2 linked regions of the Stegostoma tigrinum genome follow. The protein of the gene in region 1 purifies or fractionates together with the protein of each later gene. This does not show direct contact. Links are inferred from orthologs where the notes say so. Each region holds a gene or a part of one and is shown on either strand. Other genes may lie near its edges.

Region 1 (7,721 bases):
AAACTCACCAACAGCCATCTCTCTCTGATGAGAGTGTAGGCCTATAACCCTGTCTAGTTCTGGTGACGACTATGACTAAGTCCTCAGTACTCTAGAATCTGCTGCATAGTCAATCTCACTTACTGACTGAAGTGCACAGCATGTGGTGACACTGCTGTTCAGCTTTGCTAGATTGCACCATCCTTAATCGTGGCCCAAACAATAGAAAGATTAGTTTAATATATGTATGGCATACGCTACAGCAATTCTGCTGGTAACAAGGACTTCATTGTATCATCTCACTGTGTTGATGTGGGCTCCAGTTGGCAATCATTAGTACAGAAAAGGGTCATTTTCATTCACCAAAAGCAGACTATTCATTTTGTGGAACGGTGTCCCAGAATATAGGAGGCATAGAAAATTCCCCTGACGCAGACTATTATACACTGTAATCAATACTAATCATTTTCTTGCTCAGGTAAATTTCAAGATTCCAATATTCAGCTCTTTGGCCAAGTGGACATCTTCTGCAGCACCCTAGAGATACAGAAAGTCTGGCTTGAATTGTAACTGCTCTTGCCTGCCTGAAAGGAAACTAGATGGTGTTGTGGAGATAGGAATGGGAAAAGTTAGGGAGGAGGCCAGCTCAAGAAGATGACATCACCTGTTCTGACAATGTTTCCTTCCCCTAACATTAACTTGCTCTTTTGAGCCAGACACTCACAGGAAGGAAGCTAAGTCCTACTTCAGAAAGCAAATCAGGACTAATGGTGCCAATTTGTACTCAATTTGCAATGTCAGTTGAATGATGTAAGGTAGAACATTGGCCAGAGGAGGCTCAGAAATAAGTTTAAAAGTCTTGTTTTGGAATCCCTTGTGGGTCAGGAAGGTGAGACCGCTCCACTGGGCTTCACACTGTTTGCATTTTAAACAGATCCTTCGCCCATGCAGAATAAAATTAGCAATTCCAGTCTTGCAGGTTCTTCAGCTGGTATAGGACACCACATTTCACCCTCTTTAGTGCAAATTGGCACCGATGCTGGATCCTTTCCAACTGGCAAGTTATGAAGACGTTAGTCTGCCCAAATTGGTATCTGTTTTATGTATCTCTGTGCAGTCAATCAGTCTATTCCCTTTGCTGGCAGAATCCATTGTTTCTGTTAAAGAAATAAATAGACTAAGCATGAACTGTTGTTTTGAAAATGAATGACAATTGTTAACAAAACTAAAAATGATGTTGGTAACCAGTTCAATATCTTTTTTATCAGGATCATTTATGAGGGCAGTATTGGAGAATGCATTATACTCCAGTAGTTTTCTTGTTCATTGTCACGATTAGTAAGATTCCAATGTAAGTCATTTTGCTAAACCTGATGCCAAACTTTCCCTTTTCTGATTTTTCAAGCTAAGGCAATCTTTTACTAGAACAAGTGCTCTGGGCCACTGTTGCATATTACCTTGTTGTCTAGAACAATAAAAAGCTGGGCCACTGCAATTAGAGAGGCATATTTGATTTACACAAATTATATGAAAACTAGAATTGTAATCTGGTTTACATTATATTATGCACTTTAGCACATTTCTACGGTTCCAGGTAGATATTACAATAACCAATAAAAACACCATCTTCACTACTAGAACAATATATTGCATATGTGAGAAAACCGAAATAAAAGCAGAGATTGTTGGAAATACTCAGCAGCATGATAGCACCTGTGCTGGGAGAAACAGGGTGAACATTTCAGAACTTCCATCAGAATAGATCACAAAAATACTACATTTATTGTTATAGTCTTAAATCATAAATACAACATCCTGTGCATTTTCACTATTAGCTGCTGGGCCTCTAATCTCTGGAATTCATTTAAACTCTCCTCACTAAAAATGCTCCTTAAAAAATGACCTCTTTCACCAAATTTTGGTCATCTGTCCTGTGATCCCCTTATGTGGCTTAGCGTCAAACTTTGATACACATTGTTCCTGTGAACCCACTTGAAATGTTGTACTACCTTAACATGCTACTTTTTTTTAACAAAATACTCAGCCGTAAAATGTGACCATAGTTGGCTGGCCCAGCAATTATTGCTTACTCACATTTGTCCTTGAGAAAGTGGTAGTGAACTGGCTTCTTAAACCGCTACTGTCCATTTGCCGAAGGTTGAGTCACAGTTCTGTTGGGCAGAGAATTTCAAGATTTTGACCCAGCAACACTTAAGGAACAGCAAGTCAGACTGAGAGTGCATTGGTGAGAAACCAGCAGATGATGTTTCTATGTATTTGCTGCCCTTATCCTTTGAGGTGGTAGTGATCATGGGAAGGAACTGTCTTTAGAGCCTTGGTGAATTTCTGCAGTGGACCATCTAGATAGATACACACTGCTGACACTACTGATGTGGTGCCAATCAAGGAGGCTGCTTCATCCTGGGTAATGTTAAGTTTCTTGAACATTGTTGGAGCTGCACTCAACAGGGCACCTAGGGAGTAGTCCACCACATTTCTGACTTGTGCCTTGTAGGTTGTAGCCAAGCTCTAGAGAGTTAGCAGGTAAGTTTCTCAAAGGAGTCATAGTTTCTGACTTGCTCTTGTAGTCACAGTATTTATATGGCTAGTCCAATTCAGTTTTTTTTTCATTGGTAAGCCTCAGAATTTTGAAAGTAGGGATTCAGTGATGGAAATACCATTACTTGGTACTTCTGTCATGCAAATATATTTTCCTCTCATCAGCTCAAACGTGGGTATGTGTCAGGTCTTGCCTCATTTGGAGGTGGATTGCTTTGGTGTGTGAGTTGTGAATGGTGCTAAAAATTGTACAATCATCAGCAAAAATCCTCACTCTGACTTTATGATAAAGGGGAGGTTGTTGCTAAAGCATCTGAAGGTGATTGTGTCTGGGATGTTCTATTGAAGATCTCTTGCAGAAATGTCCTGGAGCTGAGATGACCAACTGCCGACAATCACAACCATCTTCCTATGTGCCAGGCATGATTCTAAACAGCTGAGAGTTTTCCCCTGATTCCCATTGTCTCCAGTTTTGCTAGAGCTCCTTAATGTCACACTTGATATCCAGGTCTGCCACTCTCATTTCATCTCTGAAATTCAGTTTGTTTATCCATGTTTGAACCAAGGCTGTAATGAGGTCAGGAACTGAGCAGTTCAGGTGGAACTTAAACTGTTAGTTGGTGAGCAGGGATAATGGGAACTGCAGATGCTGGAGATTCCAAGATAATAAAATGTGAGGCTGGATGAACACAGCAGGCCAAGCAGCATCTCACCAAGATAATAAAATGTGAGGCTGGATGAACACAGCAGGCCAAGCAGCATCTCTGCTGAGCAGGTTTTTGTTAAGCAAATGCTGGTTGATAGCACTATTGTTGACAGCTTCCATCACTTTACAGATGGACGAGAGTAGACTGATAGGTCATAACTGGATGGAGTGAATTTGTCCCGCTTTTCATTTACAGGATATACCTGGGCAATTTTACATATTGATCATTAGATGCCAGTAATGCAGCTGTACTGGAACTGCTTGGCCAGGGGCATGGAGGTTCTGGAGCACAATTCTGGTTGTCAGGGCCAAAAGCCTTTGCAGTATCCAGTACCTCCAGACAGTTCCTGTCATTAGGTAGAATGAAGCAAACTACCTGATAACTAGAATCAATACTGGGGAGGTTGAGGTGAATCATCAACCGGGCATTTCATGCTGAAGATTATATGAATGCTTCAGCCTTATTTTTCTGCACTGAAATACTGTTGAATTTAAATTCAGTTCTGGGTGACAGAAAAATAACAGTATTTGTAGTAGAAAAGCAACTTTACCCAACGTGAAACTCTAAAAATAAACGTTCATGCAGTCCACACGCTAATTGTTGCAAATATCAGGCCAAATATGTAACTATTTTGCGACATTAAGTTTATTTTTTGACGCACGTCCTTTGAAAATATTTCAAAAGCTGTACGAACATGAAGTACGGTCTTTCAAGAAATCTAAATGCCGGTCTGTGCCTGATCTGTTTAAAAGATAGGCAAAAGGTAAATTTTGTTTCCACTTTTCTACTAGGAGCAGCTGTTTATTCGTATTTGTTCATTCATATAATTTGTCGAAAGAAGTACCCCGTCAGTCTTAGCGCAGTTAAACGGCCAGATTCACAAAACTAATTTAAAAAGAAATCCACTGGTTTCTGCAGACAATGAATCTTCACTTGAACAAGAGGGTCCACTGAGAAAGAAAACATAGTGCTCACGAGGCTGTTTAATGAACCAAAAAAGATTGACTAACATTTTAGCTTTACTAAGACACAAAGGTGAGAAACTTCAGTAAACAACTTTTCGCTGGTTACTCCTCCTGAATAAACCCCACCTCAAACCTCCCAGCCCTCCGTTTTAAACCGAAACACAAAGAACAACGGATGCTGGAACAGAAGGAGAAATTGCTGGAGAAACTCCGCAGGTCTGGGCAGTATCCGTGGGAAGGAGGCAGAGTTAACACTGAAGAATTCTGAGGACGAGTTACCGGACTCGAAACGTTAACTCTGCGTTCTCCCCACAGATTCTGCTGGACCTACTAAGTTTCTTCAGCAATTTCTACTCTGAAACAGATAATTTATGTCACCCCACCAAACCAAACCAACTCAGCACCCATCTTGTGCAATGGACTAGACTAACACAGCGGAAAGCTGCTTTTCACCTCCATGATCCGCTATCTGGGCGGCGCTGCAATGCTTTATCGCCATTGGCCATGTCAAGCAAAACCAAGCGGGCCCCTTTCAGACGAGCTGCGCACGCGTCTGCTCCACTCTATGAGTGATTTCTTTTCCCCTCAGTTCAATCGAGCTGCCGAGGCTCATAGGAGGTTGCTGCAGGAGCTTTAGGTAAGAGGCGCTACAATCTCCGCAGAAGAGAGCGTTTTTTTGGGGGGTGGGTGTCTGCATGCAATTGTATTGACTGTGTTCCTTGAAATACATACTCATGGTTTGCATCGCATTAGGCAGGGAGAATTTGAGGAGAAGCGTGCGAGGATAAAGTCCGCGGAGGAACATTCAGCCGGAGCAGTAGGAGAAGGAGAAGGTTTCTTTGCCGGGAGAGTTTGTGGAGCCGCGAGGCTGCAGGCTCGGCCGGGACAAGCCGGGTTTCGCCGATAGAACGCGGCGTGATCCCCGGGACGTTCGAGAGGCTCGGCGCGAGCGCCCGGTGCTGTGAGCCATCGCCCAGCGGCGATAGGATGGAGGTCGCCTGGCTCCTGACCCTCACACTCTGCACTCTGGCAAACGGAGAGCTGGTAAGTGCTAACACCGTCTTCGGATTACCCCTGTGCTCCGTGCTGACGGTGGTGGGGTCTCCCTGATGAGCAGGATCGCTCCGGATCGGCGGATACTCTGTGTGAGAGAGAGAGAGAGAGAGAGAAGTGCGTACCTTAACTCGCCGGTGCTACCACACATTTTGTAACTTGTTTGAAGACTCTACCGTTTTACCGCCGCTCATATGTGTCTAATCTTTACTGAGAGAAACGGGCTTCAAAGTTCCGATTTTCGGGGTTGGGGGGGTGTGTAAGAGATAACAAACATCTAGCGTGAAAAGAAATGATACGTGGGATTGAATATAAACCAAGCCATGTACATTCTGTGTCTGGATTGTGCTTCGGTTCCCACTTTAATCTCATTACAGTCAGAATTTTTGACCCCCCTTCCCAGCCTCCAATTTGTTTTTCGCTTGTGGTCCGATTGGGTGAATTCGAACCAAATAAAGCGATCGATATAGTTCGCTATGGCGAGTCTTTTTTAAAACACAACGCTATACACGTGAGGGAACGTTACATCCTTTAATCCCTGCTAGAATGGGAGGGTAGAAGTAGTTTCGCCTGAGGCTCTGGAAAGCAGATTGCAGTAAATTAATTCCCCCTTGTCGTTGACTGAAAGGGATCAAGGCACAAGCTAACCTGTTAAGAGGAGCGAAGCGTATAATCTCCGGAAGTAGAGAGCTGTGAAAGGAAAAAGGACAACTTGGGCACAAAGTTCCTGTGCGTGTGAAAGTGCAGGTGGGCTCTGGTGTTGGAATTGCTGTGCGAAGCCTTTAGATGGCGTCTGAGATTTCTTAGCGCCTACTTTTTATTTGAAGTACAGGACTATCGGAATGTACAACACAAACTTGCTGCAACCAAGTTGTTGCGTCAATAATTTTCTGCATCATGTAGGATATTGTTCAGTTATGCGTTAGGCTCTCTCTGCATGATTAATCGCTGTTTTGAACAGAGGAAAATTAACATGGCAGGAATTGACTAAGAATATAACGATCAAACGAAATGTGTACACAGTTCAAATTTGAAATTTAAGCTGATATCATTTCTGTTCTGCATTGAGTATCGTCTGCACTAAGAAAAAACATAATATCTGACACAGATGCTCTCGCAATGAGAACCGTTTTTGAGCATGAGTAAGAATTTAACTATGCATAGCTCATCGAAGACTAGACCTGTCTTAGTGTGAATATTTGTCAGCCGCTGTGGCGGCTTCTAAATATAATTTGTGCAGCAAGCTAGTCCAGTAACTGCACAATACGAAAGACACTGAGTAACCCGTTAGTCCTTTTATTATACATTATTTCAATTTTCTCCACTTCATGAAATTGATTTCCGTGGATCTTTTATCTCTGGGCACTGTGCTGAGCTATTGTAGCATTATTATCCGTTCAATTTTATATAACTTACGAGAGAGCATATTATGAACTACTTTGAAAGTATTTCATTAAAAACTGAAGTCACTTGAGCAAGAGTGGGCCATCTAGCCTCTTCAGCCTATTCCCTGTGATGAATACATTGCTGTGCCCGGTAATTTTTTTCTTTTTGAAAACTGAATTTCTAAAACATGGCTTGTAACAAAATTCCTGTTTTTTTTTGAAAAAAGATCTTTCCAAAAGATTCTAGAAAACAACAGTGCAGCTCCGGTCTAACCCACCTTTGCAAACCTTCTTTGAATAAGTACCACCACATGGTAATTTTCACTGAGAAATTGCACAAGAATTTCCAATTAAAATTTCTCTACTTGCTGGAAAAATTACTCGCACATTTTGTCGTTTTGTAAGATGAATATTCTTAACAAATACAAAAGTTTAATAATAGCTTTAAACTTTTCTTCAAATGAAGAAAATGTATTTATGTTCTGACTGATAGATATATTTTCCACTGGAACTTTGCAGTAAAATTTTAATATAAAACAGAAATAAATTCTAAATTAAGTTCTAGTAAATGTGAACGATCACTAGAAATTGATCAAGTTACAAATCGGACTGAACCTGTCTTGAGTACTGTTGGCATTCTAGCTGACATAAAATGCAGCAATGTTATAGTAAAGTTTTGACAAATATTAATAAAATTTCTTATACAGACCAAATTTTCTGTATCATTCCTTGTTTGCATTACAAATGTCCTTAGAATATCCCCTGTTTGTATAAGTGGAAGATCTTGAACCAGATTATAGTAGTCTGACATCTTGAGCAATTAGCTCTGAAATGAGAGAGAATGAATGATGAATCTTTGGAATTTTTGGCCCTGAGAGCCAAATATGGTCGAGACTTGAGGTTTGATAGATTTCTACATATTTAAAAACATTAATAGATACAGATATAGAGCAGGAAAATAGTTTTGAAGTAGATGATCTGCTAATACCTTACCGAGGGCTGAATGGCCTACTTATCCTCTTATTTTTGATGGTCTATACTTTAACGGAGTATTTCAAGCTTACAGCTGATGT
Region 2 (7,633 bases), on another chromosome or scaffold:
CATCACCACCATTTGCGAGCTTCCTTGATACATAAAACAAAGACATTTATACGAGTCAACTTGAGAAAAACTGAACGATCTTTCAGCAGTGGCCCTCTGCACTGGTTGAGAACGAAATAAAGGTGCAAGGGATGTTCACGGGCAATCCGATTATAATATTGCAAACTCCGGATTTACAGTGTAGCTTTTTACGAAGAGGGCAGCGCAGTGCAATCGCAAGCACTACTGGGATTAAAATATTTGTGACTTCCAGCAAATTGTCACAGTACCAGAAGGAGATTTATTCTGTAGCTGGTCATTAATTCGAGTCCGGGACCCGTGGAAGTGACACATGGAAGCCCAGAGAAATGTTTAATTCAAGCTTCCTATGAACTTGTACCCAAACATGGGCCCCTGAAGAATCAGTACTGAGGATTTGAGAGCAAACCTGCCCATTTTATACCATATTTCCTCCACTTGACTTCTCAAGTCAGCTTCCAAGCCGAAGTGACAAACCAGAATGACAGCAGATAGGCAGACTCATCTTCAGTACATCTTCTCCCAGTTACGTTGATAAATCCTTCATTTTTGTTAAGACCCAAACTAAAACACATTTTACTGATCAGGATCTTTGCCGCTGGAATAGTTTAGGTCAGATGTGCAAATATTTAGCCTTTCTTACTCAATGACTCAAATTACAAATGCAATATTCTCCAAATCAAAACAGTCCCTCCAAATTTAAAGCTGGATACTCTGAACTACTATTATTTTCCTGCGCTGTGGGAGCGTTAGGCTGGATATAGCATTAGGGCGAATGGGATCAAAGGAGAAAGCATTAGGCTATTGAGTCGGACGATCAGCCATGGTGGTGATGAATGATGGAGCAGGCTGGAAGGGCCGAATGGCCTCCTCCTGGTCCTATCTTCTATGTTTCTATGAAGAATAAGGAGCTCAGTTGAGTTATATTTGTATTATCAACCAGTCAGCGGGTTATTGAAAGGGAATAGGAAACACTGGAATACATAACGTGATACGAATGAGGGAGGAAGAAATCTTTTACGAGTTTTGTGTTTTTTTAAGAAAGGAAGCTAAATGTGGAGGGTAACGCGGACTGGAATGATTATCCCGGGAGAATGAAGTATCTTTGGACCTGGGATCACACTAGCACACTCTCGCTGATGACAATCTGCTTGAAAAGGCTGTACTTCAGTTACGTAGCTGGATAATTGTGTCCAGAACGGAGCATTTGCGAACTCAAGAGTGCGTTATAAAGTGCAGCTTCAACAACTCGTTCGAACGTTGACAAATTACAAAGATGGGAAAGTAACAAAAAAAAAGGTACCTTCAGAAGTGTATCTAGATTTTTGGAGGGGAGTGGGGGCGAAGATGTGAAATCTGGCGCCGACACATCGAAATCTCCGCAGTATTATGTAATAGTAAAGAATTAAGCTCTGTTTTTTCATGCATGCTGCCTATCCAAACTAAATAGGCGCGACGGTCAAAGCTTTATAGCACAAAGCACAAACTTGACTCTTGTTGTGGAAAATGTTACAGGGTATATATGTCCAAAAATCCAGCCCCTCACACAAACACACACGTGCAAAAACACTAAAACTGACAAACTATGTGCATTTTCCATAGCACCTCCAGTAAAGTGCTGTCCACTGTAACTCTGCTAGTAACCACTTCATGCAGACGAGGGTGCTGTTGTACAATCGAGTCCCCTTCATACATGTAACAGATTTAAACCCCAACACAGCTCTGACTAAAAGCAAAATCTGGATTGCTTCTAGTGGAAGTTCTTTTTTTCAAGATTCATCTCTGAGAATATTTTGAAAATAAAAGGATTTTTTGTTTAAATTGCTGTGCCATGTGGATCAGTCCACAATCACCCTGCAACAACAGTTTAAGCTATAGACCCAGGTCACAATTTTCTTCCAGCGGCATTATCTTTCCACTTAACACATGTTTCCAAACAGAATGACAGCACCCGGCATTGTTGTGCGTCCCAACTTTGTTTTCGGTGTATAAGAAACTCCAAGTGCTTGATTATCCAGGGTGCTGGCAATTCCACACACACAGACACACACACACACACACACACACACAGGTACACATACACACAGGCAGACAGACACAGACAGATACACATACACACACACACAGGTACACATACACACAGGCAGACAGACACAGACAGATACACATACACACACACACAGGTACACATACACACAGGCAGACAGACACAGACAGATACACATACACACACACACACACGCACACAGGTACACATACACACAGACAGACAGACACAGACAGATACACATACGTACACATAACACAGACAGACAGACACAGACATACACACACACACACACACACACACAGATGCACACATACTTCCAAACTGAATACAGCCCAAATTTGGAACACTTCGTCAACAGCCTAGCATTGGTGACCAGGCACTTAAAAAAACTTAACCAAAATGTAGCCAAAAAAATGAGGCAACGTTAAAAGGTATTTTAGATCGCCGCTTTAACCTGTGATTCTACAGACAACGCTTCGAGCCGGCATCCCCTGCAAATCTGCCAGTACAGCCAAATACAATACTTACTTTGTTATGCTTTCACTTGGTGGACGTGTGGTCTAATTCCTGCGGCACCTGTCCGGTTAAATGAGTCCCAAGACTGTGTTATTTACAAGAGGCGATGAAAGGGACTGGAGCCCCACTCGCTGAGTTCTCTGCTCTGCTTGGAGGAGAAGTACGATGCTCCAGATGGACCACTGCCCCGCGAACCATGGGCTTCAGTCTCTTCAGGGAGCCACATGTGCTGCTGTCCGATCAGTTGCTGGATGGTGTTTGAGTCAGTCAGAGAGTGAGATTCAGGCAGAGCGAGCTGGGAGCCAGGCAAACAACACTAGTCAGAGAGACCAGGAAAGAAGCGGAGCAGCGCAGCGCTGGATACACACTGACTTCAAGCGATTAGGCAGGAACGGAAGAGGGGGAGTGTACATTACACACCCAGCACAGGGAGGGAGTGTACATTACACACCCAGCACAGGGAGGGAGGGTACATTACACACCCAGCACAGGGAGGGAGTGTACATTACACACCCAGCACAGGGGGGAGTGTACATTACACACCCAGCACAGGGAGGGAGGGTACATTACACACCCAGCACAGGGAGGGAGGGTACATTGCACACCCAGCACAGGGAGGGAGTGTACATTACACACCCAGCACAGGGAGGGAGGGTACATTACACACCCAGCCCTGGGGGGAGTGTACATTACACACCCAGCACAGGGAGGGAGGGTACATTACACACCCAGCACAGGGAGGGAGGGTACATTACACACCCAGCCCTGGGGGGAGTGTACATTACACACCCAGCACAGGGAGGGAGTGTACATTACACACCCAGCACAGGGAGGGAGGGTGCATTGCACACCCAGCACAGGGAGGGAGTGTACATTACACACCCAGCACAGGGAGGGAGTGTACATTACACACTCAGCCCTGGGGGGAGTGTACATTACACACCCAGCACAGGGAGGGAGGGTACATTACACACCCAGCACAGGGAGGGAGTGTACATTACACACCCAGCACAGGGAGGGAGGGTGCATTGCACACCCAGCACAGGGAGGGAGTGTACATTACACACCCAGCACAGGGAGGGAGTGTACATTACACACCCAGCACAGGGAGGGAGGGTACATTGCACACCCAGCCCTGGGGGGAGGGTATATTAGAGACCCAGCCCTGGGGGGAGGGTATGTTACAGACCCAGCTCTGGGGGGAGGGTACATTATACACCCAGCACTGGGGGGAGTGTACATTACACACCCAGCTCTGGGGGGAGGGTATATTACACACCCAGCCCTGGGGGGAGGGTATATTACAGACCCAGCTCTGGGGGGAGGGTACATTATACACCCAGCACTGGGGGGAGTGTACATTACACACCCAGCTCTGGGGCGAGGGTATATTACACACGCAGCACTGGGGGTAGTGTACATTGCACACCCAGCTCTGGGGGTGAGGATACATTACACACCCAGCACAGGGTGGGAGGGTGCATTACACACCCAGCACTGTGGGAGTGTACATTACACACCCAGCTCTTGGGGGAGGATACATTACACATCCAGCACAGGGAGGGGGGAGTGTGCATTACACACCCAGCTCTGGGGGGAGTGTACATTACACACCCAGCACAGGGGGGAGGGTACATTACACACCCAGCACTGGGGGGGAGGGTACATTACACACCCAGCTCTGGGGGGAGGGTATATTACAAGTGTGAGGTGATGCACTTTGGTAGGAGTAACCGGAAGGCAAAGTACTGGGCTAATGGTAAGATTCTTAGTAGTGTAGATGAGCAGAGAGATCTCGGTGTCCATGTACACAGATCCTTGAAAGTTGCCACCCAGGTTGACAGGGCTGTTAAGAAGGCATACAGTGTTTTAGCTTTTATTAATAGAGGGATTGAGTTCCGGAACCAAGAGGTTATGGTGAAGCTGTACAAAACTCTGGTGCAGCCGCACTTGGAGTATTGTGTACAGTTCTTGTCACCGCATTATAAGAAGAATGTGGAAGCTTTGGAAAGGGTGCAGGGGAGATTTACTAGGATGTTGCCAGGTATGGAGGGAAGGTCTTACGAGGAAAGGCTGAGGGACTTGAGGCTGTTTTCATTAGAGAGAAGAAGGTTGAGAGGTGACTTAATTGAAACATATAAAATAATCAGAGGGTTAGATAGGGTGGATAGGGAGAGCCTTTTTCCTAGCATGGTGACAGCGAGCACGAGGGGGCATAGCTTTAAGTTGAGGGGTGAAAGATATAGGACAGATGTCAGAGGTAGTTTCTTTACTCAGAGAGTAGTAAGGGAATGGAACGCTTTGCCTGCAATGGTTGTAGATTCGCCAACTTTAGGTACATTTAAGTCTTCATTGGATAAGCATATGGACGTACATGGAATAGTGTAGGTTAGATGGGCTTGAGATTGGTATGACAGGTCAGCACAACATCGAGGGCCGAAGGGCCTGTACTGTGCTGTAATGTTCTATGTTCTATATTACAGAACCAGCTCTGGGGCGAGGGTACGTTACACACCCAGCACTGGGGGGGGGAGAGTACATTACACACCCAGCACTGGGGGGGGATACATTTCACACCCAGCACTGGGGGGAGGGTTCATTACACACCCAGCACTGGGAGAGGGTTCATTGCACACCCAGCACCGGTTTGAGATATTGCAAACCCAACTCTGGGAGATTATTTATTGTACACCTAACTCCATAAGATTTATACCTATCTGTGTCAGATCTACTTTACACCATTCAGTACCCTCCTGCAATCTCCCAAGATTGACCACGAGTTCAGAGGGTTGTCCTGTACAGTTTATGAAGATAATTGCCAGCGATGGTTGAATTGCCTTCATTATACTCAGTGTAACAGGAATTGCACAGGTTGTGGTGAATCAGGCATGGTATGAAATGATTTCTCAATCGTTCCAGCAGGGAGTGTTTCTCATCTCAGTTTCTGTATTTGCTGAGATCCCCTGGGCCAGAACCCAGTGGTGGGTTGGTTTTCAAAATGAAAATTGCAGAAGTTCTCAAAGGATCCTCACAGGTTTTAATTTTGGTGCCAGGTCACACATGCACTGCTGATTAACACTCCTTAAGTTCCTTCATTATCCAAGGGCCCAAACATACCTCCCAGGTGAAGCAACACTTCGCCTGCAATTCTCAGAAGTTAGTCTACTGCATTCGCTGCTCACAATGTGGTCTCCTCGACATTGGGGAAACGAAGCGTAGACCTGGTGACTGCTTCGCAGAACATCTATGTTCTGCTCCAAAAAAGACCCTCAACTACCTGTTGCCTGCCACTTCAATGCACCAACCTGTTCCCTGGCCAACATCTCTGTCTCTGGCTTGTTACAGTGTTCCAGTGAAGCCCAGTGCAAGCTGGAGGAACTGGAGGAACAACACCTCATTTTCTGCTTGGGGACCCTACAGCCCTCAGGACTCAATATTGAATTCAATAGTTTTAGGGCCTAAACTCTCCCACGTCCCAGTCCCCTACCCCACACACCAGTCCTTGTTACCACACAACCTGCCACTACACGCCCCCTGTTGTTTATCACTAACAGTCCCCAATAACAACTATCCACCCTCTCAGCCTGATCGTTAGCAACTCCTTTGTCTGTCCAACTCTCTTTCTCTCTCTTTGGGCTCTATCCTATCGTTTACTCCCTACCCCACTCACCTCCCCATTTTCTGCATATAAACTGGCATTTTCCCAGCCACCATCAGTTCTGAGGAAGGGTCACCTGACCCGAAACGTTAACTCCTTTTCCTCCTCTACAGATGCTGCCAGACCTGCTGAGCTTTTGCAGCAAATTTGTTTTTGTTTATGTTCCTGCGAGATCTTTTCGTCCAAGGGACTGGTCACCCAATCTCTGAGGTGGAAGCTCCTTACTCGAGTTCCACTTAGTAACCTGGGGAAAACAAGTCAGTGATCTACCCGCAAATCTTGCCAACGTGTGCCTATAGGAGGTGGTTAGAGTGGAATAGTGTCCTTGTGAGCCATAGAAGGAACTTTGGAACCTCTTATAATCGCTATCCATTGCTCCAGGCTACAACATGGTAGGAAAATTGCAGTAAAAGTTCCTGACTGAATTGTTTCATGTTCTATTCTAAGTGGAGCTTATACTTACATATGTATAAACAAACTTATTAAGGGGCCTGTCTGTTCTCAAAATATCATTTTCTTTTCCCAACAAGGCCTAACATATTTCAGGGCAAAGCTGTTGGTTTTATTGTGGGGTTCAAATATACCTCCCCGCAATTGGAAACACCTCTCTGGGGCTGACTAGCACCTACATACACTGATCAGTTCCTTCGTCTGCTCCCTCACTGTCCCTGTTTTTCCACTTCCAGCAGCATCTTTTAATTACATCGAAAGGAAACATGGGATCTGCGCTTGTATTGTGGAACTTTTCTGGGATTTGAGTTCCTGATTCCGCATTGCAAACTCAATTTCCTGTCTCTCTGTCATCATCCTGTTTTATAGATCTTCAAGTTCTCTGTACTGCTTCAAACTTGGCCTCTTGGCCATCCTTGGTTTTAATGATTCTACCACTGGTGGTCAGGCCTTCAGCTGCTCAAGCCCTCAAATTTAGCAGGCCAATGATAAACCTTTCCATTGCATTGCCTCACTTCCTTGCTTTGAGTCACTCCTGAAAATCTGCCTTTTTGACTAAACATTTTGTGACCTGTTATAATTCTCCTGGTGCTTTTATTTTTAAATGAGTTACACAAATTATTGTTGGTGTAATGTACCATTAACAGTCACAAAATGCAAGTTTTTAGGTGTGCTGAGACCTTTCTACTTTTCATGAGTGTCACTGTTTACATTTAGCTACTTGTCTTTAACAACAAGCCACCAATTGAGAACTCTTTTCATTAAGAGTGTTTGTGGTGTTATGACTAGAGATTAAATCATATCCTCATATCCTTGAGTATCCAATTAAAGATTTTCCAAACATAGTCATACAGCATGGAGACAGACCCTTCAGCCCAACCAGTCCATACCAAACATAATCTTAAACTAAACCAGAGCCACTTGCCTGCAACAAAGAATCT

The links. Proteins that work in one complex are often made in the same cells at the same time.
Region 2: the proteins of sdc2 (region 1) and caM kinase-like vesicle-associated protein purify together in Homo sapiens (affinity purification with mass spectrometry; 3 studies listed by BioGRID and IntAct, counting the BioPlex papers as one, with this or other methods). This does not show direct contact. The link is inferred for Stegostoma tigrinum from reciprocal best matches to the Homo sapiens genes SDC2 and CAMKV.

What each region holds. Positions count from the first base shown.
Region 1 is NC_081358.1:93,238,633-93,246,353, forward strand, and holds the start of sdc2 (syndecan-2), read left to right. Parts: upstream 1-4,717; 5' UTR 4,718-4,847; intron 4,848-4,963; 5' UTR 4,964-5,197; coding exon 5,198-5,254; intron 5,255-7,721. UniProt on the Homo sapiens protein: Cell surface proteoglycan which regulates dendritic arbor morphogenesis.
Region 2 is NC_081364.1:13,128,058-13,135,690, forward strand, and holds the start of caM kinase-like vesicle-associated protein, read right to left. Parts: upstream 3,021-7,633; 5' UTR 2,597-3,020; intron 1,418-2,596; exon of another isoform or gene 1,322-1,417; intron 1-1,321. UniProt on the Homo sapiens protein: Does not appear to have detectable kinase activity.